4 linked regions of the Drosophila melanogaster genome follow. The protein of the gene in region 1 interacts with the protein of each later gene in a pairwise test. Each region holds a gene or a part of one and is shown in the gene's direction. Other genes may lie near its edges. The genes, in order: Pex3, CG11357, CG34166 and CG3604.

Region 1 (4,114 bases):
GTAATGTACTATTTTTTTTTTAAATATTACGGTTTTTTCGAATACCATAATTTTAAAATATTGTGATATAAATAGTATCGTATTGTATTGTATATAAGTTAACTTGTATTTAACATAAGGCAATTTGTAAAGGCCTTATAATTCTTCTTTTTAATTCATTTTTTTTATTAAATTTTATTTTAAATAACTTACGTCATTCTCTTTATGTCATTTACCCTTTTTAAAATAAAGACTGGTGTTGTGTAAACGCAAAAAAGACTGTGTAATTATTAATGCAGTTGTATTGCTTCTCTGTTTCATTGTAATAAAAAGTAAATATAAAATATTGTATCTTAAAAAGAATAAAACTCATTTCTTAAACAACTTAACAGCACACATGTAAATAATTCTTAAAAAGACAGATATTGGAAGAATATTTTGCGGAATTCAGGAGTCAAAAGCGACCACCTGTTGAATGCATTGTTCGACTATGCTAAAAAGTATTTCCGAAGTCTTAACACTACTAAATGGCCTATCTACAGGAGGTACATGGACAAACAGGCTTCGTTTTCTGTCCATATCGAGCGATTTCAGATAGATATAGCCGCAGAGAAAGTCACCCACATTTTTGGATGCCTTTGTGGCGCTCAGGGATTTGAGATTATCATTATGTGTCGGCTGTTGTGTGGGTCCCACACAATCGGCGCAATTCTCATTTACAACCGCCACAATCTTATCCACATCTAATTCGGTCTTCAAGACATTTGCATGTCCATTGTTGGGTAGTTCGCAAGTGCCGTTGGCCAGTTTTTTATCACAATTATCAGCTCGGCGGAACTTGTGATTGTACGCCAGCTTCTCGATGTATACACACTTGGCAACGCCCGAAACACCGACATGGATAACAAGCTGTTTTTTTTTTGTTTTTTATTTTTTTGGGAGAAAGATGATATCATAAGGCCTCTATCTATTTATGGTTCAATTGCGATGCTTACATATGGCTGGCGTTTCCAAATCTCCGCCACCGCCTCGTCCACAGCCCCGTATTCCACCGAAACCAACCGCTTTTCCAGATCATATTCTATGCCATCGTGAGTTAGGATTTCCGGCAGCAGTTTCACAGCTTCCCAGCTGGCGTTGACCGCTTCGTGACCGAGAAATGGACCAAATCCGGAGACTACAATGAGCTTTCGATCTGACGACGCCATAACAAACACCCCAACTAAACTAAACCCCCCACCAACAACAGAACTATCTTAAATACCATATGATTTCTATCTTCTTCTTCACCCTTTGAATCATGCGTTTCAAATGTTTGCGACGATGGCGGAACGGTGGAAATTGGAGCATATCGAAGTTTTTTATTTTTCGTCATTTATAGGTGAATTAACATTATTTTATATTTTCTATTTTTTTTTGAACCCACTTCGAAATAACGAAAAAATAAATAACTAAAAAGCATCCCCATTTTCAATAAAAATTTAAACAGTAACACCAAATATACTAAACGAAATGGTATTTTTCGGTATTCCCGAACCTCGCACTTTTGGGATTTTTCTTGAACGGAAACAGACGACGCAGTATGCGGCACCAAACAGAGAAATAACACATTTAGCGACAACAACAAAGGATAAATCCATTCCATACATTCCAGAGCTAGATCCGATCCAAAGGCCAGCAATCGACCCGATAAGGCGGCGCACCAGATCCGAGTTTCCGAGCAGGGGTATATAGGTGAGCACTACCTGGTAATCTAATCGCTGCGGATGAGTGGAGGACGCTCCTCTGTTGGCAGCGACGCCGGCAGCGCACCACCCTACGCACACAGGTGAACTTTGCACATTAACTATTTATTAACCTCGAACAGGTCGCCGGTGGAGCGGGAAAAAGTGGGATATCTGAACAGCAGTTGGCCTATTTCACACAGGAAGCGGATTCTAGTTGTCCATCCGGCAGAAGAGGCCTTTTCCAATCGTTAACATGCTGTCGCGCCTGCAGGACTTCTTGTCACGCCACCGGCGAAAGTTCATAGTGACCGGCGTTCTGGTGGGCGGTACCATCTTTGCGGCACGTTATGCACAACGGCGATTCGTGGAGTTCCAGGAGAAACAGGCCAGGGAATTCTTCGAGAGAACGCGGCGCACGACCCACTTTGAGTCGACGGAGAAGACGTGTAACCAGGTGATCCTAGGCATGGGCGAGGAGATGTGCCAAGCGGTTCTGAGGGAGTGCAGCACGGACGAGCTGCTCGAGCAGCTGCGCCAGAATCCCAAGAACAAGTTGGAACTTTGGGAGGACATGAAAATTGTGGCATTCACAAGACTGGCAACCTATGTCTACGCCTCCTCCATGCTGGTTATTGCGTTGAGGGTCCAGCTAAATCTTCTCGGTGGCTACATCTATCGGGACATCATGACGGAACAAAAACAAGTCACCGACGAGCTAAAGCAGCAGTATCTCTCCCTCATCCGACACTTTATCACGGATTCGGGCATCCGGGACTTAGCCCGTTACATTCGCACCCAGGTCATCGCAGTCACCAAGACCATACCGCTCTCCGAACAGCTTTCCCTTAGCGACCTGGAGCAACTGTTTTGGTCACTGCAAATGGCCATCAATGCGGACACTCGTCGGGATCCCAACTCGCGAATGAGCAAGTATCTGCTGCCCAGCCAGAATCCCAGTCATTCGCCGCTGCTGCAAAAGATGGTCAACGAGACGCTGGATCTGTTGGAGAGCGAGGATGCCGTTGGCGTGTGCTCGCACAATGTAAGCCGTGGTTTTGTGCTGGCCTGCGATGCCATCGCCGAAAGCATGGGCGAAACTTTGCAGCATCTGCCACAAGCTAAAGTCCAAACGCAGCAAGAACAGAGCGTCAAGTTTAACCAGGCAGGAAGCTTAGGCGCCAGCACCTCGAAGAGCCAAAACGGTCTGGAGAACAATAACTTGCTGAACATCAACCGAGTGCTGTTGGCGTTGGCAAAGCTCATTCCTATCATCAGTGGTCTCACCTCGAGAGGCTTCGATACCACTTCGCGACCCCACAATCTGCCCACCCAACTGCTAACCTTCTACGTGGTCGCCGAGAAGACAAAGACGCTGGGGGCCAACGTCTACGAAAGCTTTAGCTCCGCTTAGAGGATCAACAAAACTTGGATTATGCATCCGTGCATAGGCTAGGCTAAGACAATTGGAAAATTATAGTTTATATACTTGTATATTTTTAATAAGATCTGTATTCTCAGAAGCATTGTTTGTATGTCTGCTTGAACCCAACCCGTATTAGGTTTAGCTTCGTCCACGGGGAATCCTTTCAGGGCAGGGACACAAATCGAGTAACGTGAAGGCCTTTTAATCTAAATGGAAAGTTAGGAAATGCAACATATGAGAGAATCATATAGGATGGACCTGAGGGTAGTTTAGTATCCAAACTATATGAAAATGTAATTTAAAGTGTAATTGATTAATAGAATGATAAGTGACAGATTATTTATTTATACCATGCTAGAAAGCTTGGGTCTTAATCTTAAAGGAAGTGTAAACAAATGGCAACCTAATAAACTATGCATTCCCCGTATTTAAAGACTATTATTTTGCATATTAAAGTTTTTGAAGGAACTTATTCTTTTTATTCTTACAGCTAATTAAAACAGATATTGATTTATAGAATGATAAATTATACATGCGTACATAGGTGCATACTTGTATTGAATTAATAAGAAATAAATTCAATAATTATGTCGGAGATATACGAGATTCTTATATACTTTTTCCTCCAAGTTTCTAACAGTTTGCGGTTTTAAATGTACATAATATATTAATTTAGTAACGGAGCAACGGTTATCTGATAATCGGGGAACTCGACTATAGCATTCTCTCTTGTTATAAATGCTTAATATGTATAAAAATATAAGAATTGAATTATCGAAGACACAACCCACAAGTAACGGTTGTCTTTGCTATCAGTCAAAAGGGGGTGGCAGAAAACCGCCCTGTGATAAGACAGCTGTGTCTGTGGCTTTTGTTTGTTTGCCATTTCTCTTGTTCTTGCCGCTCTCTCCCTTGTTCACTCTCTTCAAGCACTTGCGCAGAAATGCCGCATGTGCGAAGATTCATTATAATATAACAATTATGA
Region 2 (5,011 bases), about 11 Mb from region 1:
GCTGATTAACAAAAATGCTGGGATCATTATTATTATTATTCATCAGCGATTCAAGGCGTGAATTGTACAGATTATTCGTAAATAATACTAAGGAATCGGATAGACCAGCCACATCACCAGATTGTGTAGAACTATGAGGATTCTACATGAAAGACAAACAATTTAAACAAATTCGAATGTATGTTAATGAAATATGAAGTTTATACCAAAATCGACGAAAGCATCTTTTCACTGGCGCAGAAGTCGAAAACCTCTTCAGGATAAACCAGAAATGGAACTGAATGTATGATGATTTTTCTAAGTTTATTAGTCACACTGGATGCTTTTTTCAACGATTCGGGTGTTATTGGTATATCTTTCTTATTTGGGTGCCATATCTGAGTGGTAGTATACGTTTTTAGCTCAACGCGACCATCGGTTTGCTTGTAAACTCCAAGATACGGGGTGACCATTAGACCTGCGGCAAACCCCGTATGGGTCACAAATCGGTTCCAGGAATCAGACATTGAGTACTGTGACACATATGACATGCAACAGTCAATGTTGCTGGAATGTCCAGTTTCATCTTGTACAAATAAAAAAATATAATACATTTCTCGATTTACTTATAACTATCGAGCTTACCCACGCATCGTCGGCATCGAAACACCGGATACAGGCGCCAGGATCTACTTTCTTCGGCCAGCTTGGGATCATATACATTATTGACAACCATCACAAAAAATAAAGACGTGAGTGACTGCCCTTTGGAGTATTTTCCTGATATGAGAAAGTAGATAACATAATGACGCTTATTTGGAATATATTATTAATTTTACTATAACTATAACTCACTATAACTCCAGATCGCATGAAACATGTTAGAATCGAAATTCAGCAGAGACAGCTTTGCCTTCAATATGTTTTCTTGACCCGACGATATTCTGCAAACCTTGAGCTTTATAATTTGCAATTTTTTCGGATGAATCCTACTTACAGATCCCAGGTTATATCGTTGCCATGGCCCAGGATGTCGGCAAACTTTTGCTGCACTTCTCTGACTGTGGGAACTAAGTTTCCGTCCCCTTTTGGAGCACTCATTTTTGCAAACTTTTATTCCTGCTTATTTCTAGAACTTCTTCTGTTGCACGTAGAAGATGGAAGTTGCAACAAAAGGCGGCTATCGATAGTCAGTGCTGACGAACTGTCACTATCTAAGTAATATGATGTATTTACCAGTCATATTAGGGATATTTGTAATTTAAATAAACATTAAATAAAACACTTATCAAAATGTATATCTCTTAATGTTTATGATCACCCCAATATTGTTTACATTCGACTGTTTGTAAATAATTAGGTTTCATAAAAGGCATTATTACTCAACGAATTAAATATTATTCTAATTTTTGTTATTAAGTAATTAAGTAATTACAAAATTTAGTTGGCTGATAACGATATTAGTGCAATTTAAAAAGTTAAAATCTTAATGTTAAGTTAAAATAGGTTTCCTATCGGTTGAATCAATTATCATTGCGTTTCTTCGTAATTTACAACTTACGAATGGCGACTGAGCCGATGCACTTTAATCGATAGCAATTTTGGCAGATGGATCTTGAAAATCTAGGCAAGCTAGATGAGAAAGCGATAGAAATGGTCACCCCAAATTTTAAACGCGTGTCGATGCTTGAGTTCCATCCCTATCTCCCGCTTTCAGTTAACATTCCAGTGGTGTATATAAAATCTTATGCCTGGGGTTTTTGAAATTTATACTTAAATAATATATATTAATACTGAACATGTTAATATTTTTAAATGTGTTTTGATACAAATATTGTTAAAAACTAGATTTCTTTAACTCTGAATATTCAAAAAGTTTTATGAAGCCAACTCCCCTTAACAGCCCTTCTTTACAACTAACAACAACGCCTCTGTTAAATATAACAGTGAATTTCGCCGCTTTAACAGCAACTGAGAGCGGCTAACAGTGCGAGAGAAATTCGAACGGGGCAGCAACAAAAAAGAAGAAAAAGACTGGTAATAACGCTACGCTTCTCAGTTACTCAGTTCCGAACGGGCAAAAAACAATTTAGCGCCCTCTGAAACGCTCTGTGTTTTATTTTCCACTTAAAATATTAAAAAAGTGCATAAAAATTGCACACGTCGCTGATAACTCGCTCGGTATACTTATTCTCTAAAATACTGTCTTTCAAATCAGTTGGAAAATATGACATGATAATAAGTGAACAATAGCCGCGCCGAGAATTTTTCGACGAGTGACGGCGGTTATTCCGTTTTTTATTCAGTTTTTCTTAAAAAACCCAAGCGCATAAACAATTAAAGTCGGACAACACCATCGTTAAATGAATTAAAAGTGAATAAAAGCGCTGTCAACGCCTTTTTGGGCAGCGAAAAAAGGAAAGAGAAATCCAGGCCCAGCATCCTTCAGCCTGCTTCTTCTTCTTCCTCTTCATCTCCTTTTGCATTTCTTTTCGCCGCGTCTGTATAGGTGTTCGTGTTGGTGTGGTTGTGTGCAAGCTTGAAAATTGTGTTAAGTTAAGTAAATTTATTCCAGCTGCCAACAACAAATTGATGCCAAAAATCTATACAAATTAAGTGCTGCGTGCGCGTGTGTGTTGAATTAGCACTCCCAATTGGTGTCTCTTTCGCTCTAACTCTGTTTTTGAACTGTTACCCAAAGCGATGGGTGTGTGTAAGTGTGCGTGAGTGCTTCACATGGAAATTAATTAAAAACGCACATTTGTTGCCATTTCCCTCGCTCTCCCGCAAGGATTCGACTGACTGGCTAATGAGGAAGCAGCCAGGCGAACAACCAGCAGGTGACTATTAATACATAAAAAAAAGCATAAAATGTATGAAATTAATTATGCGAGTGCTTGGATACTATCTCTCCAGATTTCGAGGGGTTTTGTCTTTTACTTTTGCTTATCAGCATCCATTGAACAGTATCCTATTGTTGTCATTGTTGCTGCGGGGAGGGACACTTGCTCTCTCGCTCACTCTCTTTCATGTGTGGGTAGCGTTTTTTTTTTTTGTTTTTTATATACGCATCTATCTCTTCTTTCGCTCTTTTCTTCGCCTTTAAGAGGCGTTGTTGTTGTGTGCTCTTCTTTTGTGCTTTTTTCCAACATGAATTTTCTTCGCTTTTTGTTAGCACGTCGCTGTCGCTGAGGACTGACCTTGAACAAGTTCAGGCACAGTGGCACGCATGCCTGTTTGTTGTCCTCCGTTTTGGCTCGTCTGCTCCTTTTCGCCTTTTTCAACTCGTTGTCCTTGGCCTGTCCCACTGTGCCGCCTCGCTCCGTCTCCCTCTTCCTATCTTTCTGTGCGCCTCGCTCCCGTCTGAATGTTTGCCCAAGACTGCGAGAGTGTTTACCTCATCACTTAGGTACAGTGGAAATCTCACTAGTTCCGATACACCGCTTATCAATAAAAAATAACCCATTTCTATATCAATTTTTCCTGATATCAATCAAGTCATATGTATTCAACTTATTACATATTCAATAGATTTGTTATCTGAAGAAGAAGTCGCTAAGAAGACCGTGTTCGAGTCCCACTAAGATAGCACCATATCTCTAAGGGCGATATTTTGGATCTAAATCGATTTTTGTGTGATTTTCGCTAATAGACATTTAACACGTGTACTTTAAATTAATGTTTAATTTATTGAGCACTATGGCTTATAAGGAATTACAATCATTCCGTTCAGTTTAAAGTTCATTGTTTGCATTGGCGCTTCAAATTTTCAATCACATGCTCGTTGGCGAAGCTCTGATTTTTAATTGCGCCAGCTTCCGCGAGAAGCTCTCGCTCTCTCTTTTTCCCACATTCATCTCCCCTCGATCGGCCGTCTCTGTCGAATGGGCTTTAACGCTTTTTTCAGTGGCGCAAAATAACGTTGTATACGCTTTGCTTGACTGTTTGTTTGCCTATCAGCTGCTGTCACCGCTTTTCACCCGTTTGCGCCTTCTGGCCCACTGATAACCGGCGGTGCGAGGCGTTAGACGTCGGCGGTGTTACTTTTATTGGTCCGTACAGTGACCCCGAGATTCTCCGCCGACGTAACGTCACGTCAACGTTTTCAGCTTTTTGCTTTCTCTTTTACTCCCCCTTGCCGCGCCGAAATTTTCGACACGTACGAACTGCTATTCATTATTAATACCCGAATTTCGAGCGATTTGCGATCCTAAACAGTACGTTTATGAAATAACATCCTTATGTCTCACAACTTAATCTTTCAACTGTTTTCTACTTCCTTTTGGGTTTCTCCACTCGACTTATTCATGCTTTTCTAAGATATGCGAAAAGTAATCTGCATGTAGCAAGTTTCACAGAATTTTGTGTATAAGCACACCAATCTTAATAATTTTAAGAAAATTGTATTTTGGTCTTTATCAATGTGCTAGTATCAGCTAGAATATAATACTCTAATACTCGAACATAATAATTCATTCCGTTTCATCATGTGATCCCCTCATGTGAGACTTTCAAATTCAATGCTTCAAATAAATATAATGTTTATCAGATAATTGTTTTTTTTTTTTGAAACCAGCGGAACATCGAGAGAATAACACTTATTTCCATTGTGAATTTGTTTAGATAAGGCATACCAAAATACTTTAAAAGTTTATGTTCGTATAATGCAAATTGTTCTTTTATTTTAAACAAATACATACACGTGCCTCTCTTCTCACACACGCATTTGCTGATGTGGATACATTCTATAAATATTGCAAGTATTTGGAATTTCTTGATTGCGCGCGTAAATGGATAGAAACCAGACATCCACGAAATTTGTGCACTGCAGGAGAACTTTAATTTATTACTGGATTTCTTACTTACTGGATCATCGTGTGATTTCTTTAATTTACATGCGAGCGATTCCGAGCGTTGCAAGAACAGCAAAAAATGGCCATGATCATGTTTGTCTAGTTCGTTTTAATTTTTATCAGCAAAAAATTTAATTGAGTGCAAATCGCGAGCCGAACCGAGCAAGTTTCCAGAAATG
Region 3 (3,195 bases), on another chromosome or scaffold:
TAAAACCATTTGAACATCTGAAAGAGAAGATATTTCCCGTTGTCCCTTATGTTAAGTGTATTTATTTCTGGGCACTATTTAATAAATATAAATGAATAATAAATATAAATTTATTTTCATAAAACTCATAAATTTTCGAGAACGATAAAGTAAAAAATTCCAATTGTTTTTTTATCATAAAGGTGTCATATTTTTATTGAGGTATCTGCGTTAAGACGGTGCTATGAATTGGTTTTTACCAGCCTTGTTGCTGTTGCTGCTGCTGATCACCGAATCCACCTCCGAATCCACCTCCAAATCCTCCTTGCTGCTGCTGCTGCTGATCACCGAATCCACCTCCGAATCCACCGCCAAATCCTCCTTGCTGCTGCTGCTGATCACCAAATCCACCTCCAAATCCTCCTTGCTGCTGCTGCTGCTGATCACCGAATCCACCGCCGAATCCAAACTGAGGTAGGGCAGCGGCCGCGGCGAATAGGGCAATGAAGAGGATCTGTAACAATATTAAAATCAACTTAGTTCTTAAAGGTTTTTCTTTGAAGCGTATATGTAAAACGTACCAAAAACTTCATGGTGCTGATACTTCGGTTAGTCTTGCTAATGTGAATAAAATTTTTGGACGCCTCCGATCTTTTATACTCTCCTGCAATCTCATCATGTCGTCACGCGCCGAAGTATTATCAATGTTCTGACAAAATCAAGTACAATTAACCCAACAAAAATACGAAAAAAATTTCCAGACGTCTGGGAAATTAATATTTGAGCACTGTATCAATGCCTATGCTCAACGGGGGGAACCCTTCAACATCAATCTTATCTGGGAAGTCGAGCCTAATCTAATAAGTCCGCAACAGTTGCTAAGAAAAACTAAGGGCGACTTAGAAGAAGACGTTGTTTGAGATTACTTTAGATCATTTATGTTCCGTTTTCACGCATCACAAACGTGTTACGGCAACAAATGTTCTTGTTTGCTTTTCTGGGTTATCATTAGACTTTCGAAATGAGGAGGGATAATTAAGTATGAAATCCTTGTAATCATGGATTAATTTTTTATACATACGTATAATTATGTTATGTCTTTGAATTTTAGCGCTTAACAGGTTAGACCACTATAGTCGCATTCCTCGATTATCAGATACCCATTTCTTAGCTAATAGAAGAACTAAGATATTTACAAGACAAGACTAGATGAAATCAATGAAGAATCTAGAGTGTTGTTGGCACAGGTTCTGAAAGAATTGGAACTATTTAGAGGTCTGAATCTCATTCAGTTCATACAGACAGGCTTACAGACAGATGGCCAAACGAATACGGCTAGATAGACTCCGCTGGTGATGCTGGTGAAGAATATATATATTCTGTATAGGTAAAGGTTCGGCAACGCCTTCTTCGAACTCCCACAGACTTTTTAAAGAATTTGGTATACTCAATTACTCCACAAGTACCGTCTATAAAAACATAGAAATTATGTGTCTTAAAAAATTGTATTTATTAAACTAATAAGACTAGTTTATTTCTTTACATCCTTTTTTTTAAAGAAATATTATTTGTATTTTTTTTCGCTGTGTTTGGTTACATTCAAAAACATTTAAAATTTTCCAAACCAATTGTACTTTTTTTGAGAGCAAATTCAGCCTAAAAGAATACTGTTAAGCTTGTGAATTTAAATGCAGCGCTAAAAAGTCTTCGCCGTTTCTTATACTTTTTTTTTAGTGGCAATTGAAAAGCTTTTAATCGGTATATAGCTAATCAGCTCCAAAATAAGCAAAACAAATTAACAAGAAGAAAGATCAGGCTAAAGGTCCTCAACCCCTGATCAGAAATCAGCTCTGTTAATGCAGTGCTAGAATTTTGCTACCTCATCGCAGACGCTTAATCTAATAATCACAGCTTGGGGTATATAGATTTCGATAGGAAATAATAAGCAAAAAATAAGAAAATTTTGTTTTTATTACTTTGTTTTGGTGCAAATCGCTCCATTCGGCTTCCACCTGCTATAAAAGCCCTGCCATTTACATAGAATTAGTTAGAACGCTTTCGACAGTGTAAACAATCAATCTACCAAAATGAAATTCTTCGTAAGCTCTGCAAATTCCTTTCAAGGATTTTGGTGGGCTCGGAATTAAACATTGTTTTATTTCTCTTCTTTTAGATTGTTTTCTTCGCCTTGATCGCTGTGGTCTTTGCCGCTGGCTATGGACAACAGGGTGGACACGGCCAGGGTGGACGTGGTCAGCAAGGATTCGGACAAGGTGGAAATGGCCAACAAGGATTCGGACAGGGTGGACACGGCCAGCAAGGATTCGGACAGGGTGGACACGGCCAGCAAGGATTCGGCGGACAAGGAGGACATGGCCAGCAAGGATTCGGACACGGTGGACGTTACTAAAATACAGCCTTAATAAAATAATATTTTCCAAATTTAAAAACCCTTAAATTAGTTAAGTTTTTAATGTCGCAACACAAAATGTACAGAAATTACTATTTACAATAGCTAAAAAGCCGATGTATTTTCTTCTTTCACGTAAATTCTTGTAAGTTTAGTAAAGCAACAGTTAGAGTTGTTAAAATTTTACACAAGCAGCGGAGTTTTTCGTTTCCTATTATATTATATTATTATATTATAATATATTATATTATTGTATTTGTTATATAGCCACGAAATTTTTGGCAGTTTGTGGGCGTGTCTACAACAAATAACAAACGTGCGCTGCGTCTATGCCCCTGGAATCTGTATGCCTAAGCTCAACTTTTTAGCTTTTATAGTTCCTCTAATCTCGACGGACGGACAGGCAGGCGGACGAACGTGGACAGATCGAACGAGAACCTTCTCATGTTCAATAAGAGCAGTGTTCTCTGTCATTCAATTAGGTCTGGGAATTCATCGATGCATCAGCAAATTCTCTTGAAGAAACATTGCAAGGCTGCAAATATCAACTTCTAGTGAATACTGATGATAGGGAAATGTAATTACTCTCAACAAAATTTCGAGTACGACCATTTTTACGATCTATTTAGAAATATAAAAAAACATGCATATACGTTTGAGGTGAGGTCCTAAGTAAAAATATGTGTACCTTAAATGGTTATAATAAGTATTTTAAATGATTGTATTTGGTAGGGTATTTAATGATAAGGTGTAAGCTCCTTTAAATTTTCGCTATATAAGTGGAAGTTTGCAATAGAGAGCTTCAT
Region 4 (2,809 bases), on another chromosome or scaffold:
CCGGTAAAACTTTGTTTAGATTGAAGACCTTTCTCGTGAAAGATGTCTTTATAATTCTATAATTCGCAATAACCTGGCTTAAAGTGTGCCTAATTTGAAAAGTCTACAGTTTTCTTTCAAGTGATAGGGTATCGCTTTTTGTTTATTTTATTCGATTCAAGTATATATTATTATGCGAGCACTATGAGTTCGAAAATGCGTTCCAATTATGTGCTATCTGTTTGCTTTGTTGAAATTATTTAATTAATCTCGCCAGCGTTCAACACGGCGTATGCGCAATGCGAGCTTAACTCACACATGGATGAGCAGAGAGTGAGCAAATGATTTAATTTGAACGTAATTGATCGTCTAAGCACAGCATATAGAACTGGAATATGGAACATTCGGAACAGTTCAGTTCACAGTCGTTGCTTTTAACGTTCAGTTATCAGGTTGCAAACACAAAATGCTTCTGCGGATGACCCAGTTTCTCTGCCTTGCGGCACTCGTTTTGCTAAGTCTTATGCAACTTACGCAGGCAGTAGCCACTCCCAATAATAATAATAATAATAATAACAATATTAAACCGAAGGCTGTGGTTCAGGTGCAACCTGGAAATCCATCGGGAAACAAGCCTGCAGTTGCCACAACTACAATCAAACCACAGAGACTGGTACCAGGTATGTTTATTTATAAACTGATCGAAGAACTTTTATGGACCTTTATTAAATCCCTTAATTTGTAGATCCCAAATGCCTGCAGCCCTTGGACGTTGGTCCATGCCGCATGAGCCTAGAAAGGTTCTACTACAACAAGGATTCAAAAGCTTGCGAGACCTTCAAGTACGGAGGATGTCGAGGCAATGACAATCGTTGGGGATTCCGACAAACTTGTGAGGAGGCTTGTATTCCCAAAAAGTGATCCATTGATGGCGGTCACAAAATACGAGATTGTTTTTAAATTGTAAATGCTAGATGAAATTATTTGTTGATGTATTTTTAAAATAATTACTTGAAATGGGTTTTTGCTAATGCGAAATATATACGTTTAATAATTAACTAATTACAAGTAAGCAGTATATCAAATGTTTATCTATAATTGGAATTAAGAAATTAAGTGCATTATTTTCCACCTATATGCGCAATTTTGAAAATTACCTAATGATTAGAATCGCAAACGAGCGATTATTAGGAACATTTCTTAACCAGACAGTTTATTCATTTCTTCTGAAGCTCCAAAGCTTACCCCATTCGTTAGATACACAAAAAACTTCAACCGACAGTTAACCAGTTTATAGGTAATTCAGTTAGATTCCCATTCCGCTCGCTAAACGTGATTTGGCTGACTAAAATTGTCACACCGATACGGAAGCCACTTGGAATATGATTTTATGGCCAGCATTATGATTGACTTGCGTTGGTGCGTTGATCTGCAATTGAAGGTTGGGCCGCGAAAGCTTCTCCGAGAGCTGTCAGTGCCAGGTGATATCGATATGGACGTGGATATAGACGTCAGAGAGGCACCGCCGTGATTTACATGCGGCGACGAATCAGTTGGACAAACAAGCTGGCGCTCCGATAAATGAAGTACACAAAAAGAGGCAAAACGGTGGGCAAAAACCCAGTTGAGTGAGTATAGTAGTACGTGAGTTAATCAGTTCGGACGGATAGTATTTAAGCCGCAATATCCGAGCGAGCCGAAATCATTCGCTCATCATCCACTCAACGGACTCGAAATGTGCTTTAGATATAGCTTCAGTTTCATAGTATTCGCGGCTGTTCTGCTCCTGGCAGCCGGAATTCGTGCAGCTCCCTCGGATGTCGTCGTGGAGAAGGCGGAGGAGCCCGCGGTGGCCAAACCCCTGCCTGATGCCAGTGAGCTCACTGTTCCGGAGGACTGTCATCAGCCCAAGGAAACCGGTCGCTGTTTCGCTCTGTTCTATCGCTACGCCTACAACGTGGATACACAATCCTGCGAGGAGTTCGTTTACGGTGGATGTGCCGGCAACAAGAACAACTTCGAATCCAAGGAGCAGTGCGAACAGGCATGTTTGGTAAAGTCTGCGGTTTCCTCCACGGACTCAACAACCGAACAAAACAGCGAAGTGGCCACAGAAACTAGCACCTCGTCTTAAAAAATTGTAGTTCTTAGTTTGTAATTTATTTGTCATCCAACTTCATCAGCCTTTTAAAAGCATTTCTTTACTGAGTTGATTATTTGAATAATTTGATTATAAATTTTAATAAATATACCATTGTGATTTATATATCTATTTCGTTTTATTCGCACATCTGGTACTAGCAGTACAGTATGTAGATACATTTGTAAGTGTCAGAAGTGGTTAGCAGTACATCTCGGAAAGTCATTAATTTCGAAACCCGACGGACTCACAAAAACTTGAGTCATGAATAGACGATTTTAATTAATCTTGGGAACTAAACAGTGTAAACAGTAATTTTGATAAAATATGACTACTTTTATAATGCACTTATATCGCAAAGATTCTGAAAACGAAATGTATAAATATATTATACAAGCAAAAGAGGAAATAAATGAAATTTGGGAAAAAATCGGACAAACCCACTTCCGAATGACAAATCGCTGCCTAATCGTGTTTACTTTATTCAGAACGTAGTTCCTAGATTTATTTGCTATTCCGGCATTATTTTCAGTACAAACACTAGCACTAGCACATAGTACTCGAAGTCTCGTCTGTTTATATACCAAATTCACGAGCACTCGTTAATGAACCGAAAGTTCATGAGCATATAGATAAGATCCCCAGCCAATATGTAGTTCCCATCTGCCGATCGGCATGGCGTATATAACC

Evidence for each region.
Region 2: the proteins of Pex3 (region 1) and CG11357 interact in a two-hybrid assay, tested with the Drosophila melanogaster proteins (one large-scale study listed by BioGRID).
Region 3: the proteins of Pex3 (region 1) and CG34166 interact in a two-hybrid assay, tested with the Drosophila melanogaster proteins (one large-scale study listed by BioGRID).
Region 4: the proteins of Pex3 (region 1) and CG3604 interact in a two-hybrid assay, tested with the Drosophila melanogaster proteins (one large-scale study listed by BioGRID).

The regions. Positions count from the first base shown.
Region 1 is NT_037436.4:15,142,823-15,146,936, forward strand, and holds Pex3 (peroxin 3), read left to right. Parts: upstream 1-1,532; 5' UTR 1,533-1,727; intron 1,728-1,846; 5' UTR 1,847-1,959; coding exon 1,960-3,117; 3' UTR 3,118-3,557; downstream 3,558-4,114. Other genes in the region: CG32147 (uncharacterized protein), read right to left, coding at 427-888, 975-1,187.
Region 2 is NT_037436.4:4,540,089-4,545,099, forward strand, and holds the start of CG11357 (uncharacterized protein), read left to right. Parts: upstream 1-1,962; 5' UTR 1,963-2,016; intron 2,017-2,031; exon of another isoform or gene 2,032-2,554; 5' UTR 2,555-2,819; intron 2,820-5,011. Other genes in the region: CG32243 (uncharacterized protein), read right to left, coding at 1-142, 207-565, 625-759, 835-923, 977-1,080.
Region 3 is NT_033779.5:14,741,230-14,744,424, forward strand, and holds CG34166 (uncharacterized protein), read left to right. Parts: upstream 1-1,963; 5' UTR 1,964-2,066; coding exon 2,067-2,078; intron 2,079-2,152; coding exon 2,153-2,389; 3' UTR 2,390-2,650; downstream 2,651-3,195. Other genes in the region: CG42586 (uncharacterized protein), read right to left, coding at 236-493, 561-572.
Region 4 is NT_033779.5:3,696,677-3,699,485, reverse strand, and holds CG3604 (uncharacterized protein), read left to right. Parts: upstream 1-1,613; 5' UTR 1,614-1,714; coding exon 1,715-2,113; 3' UTR 2,114-2,244; downstream 2,245-2,809. Other genes in the region: CG10031 (uncharacterized protein), read left to right, coding at 446-659, 725-900.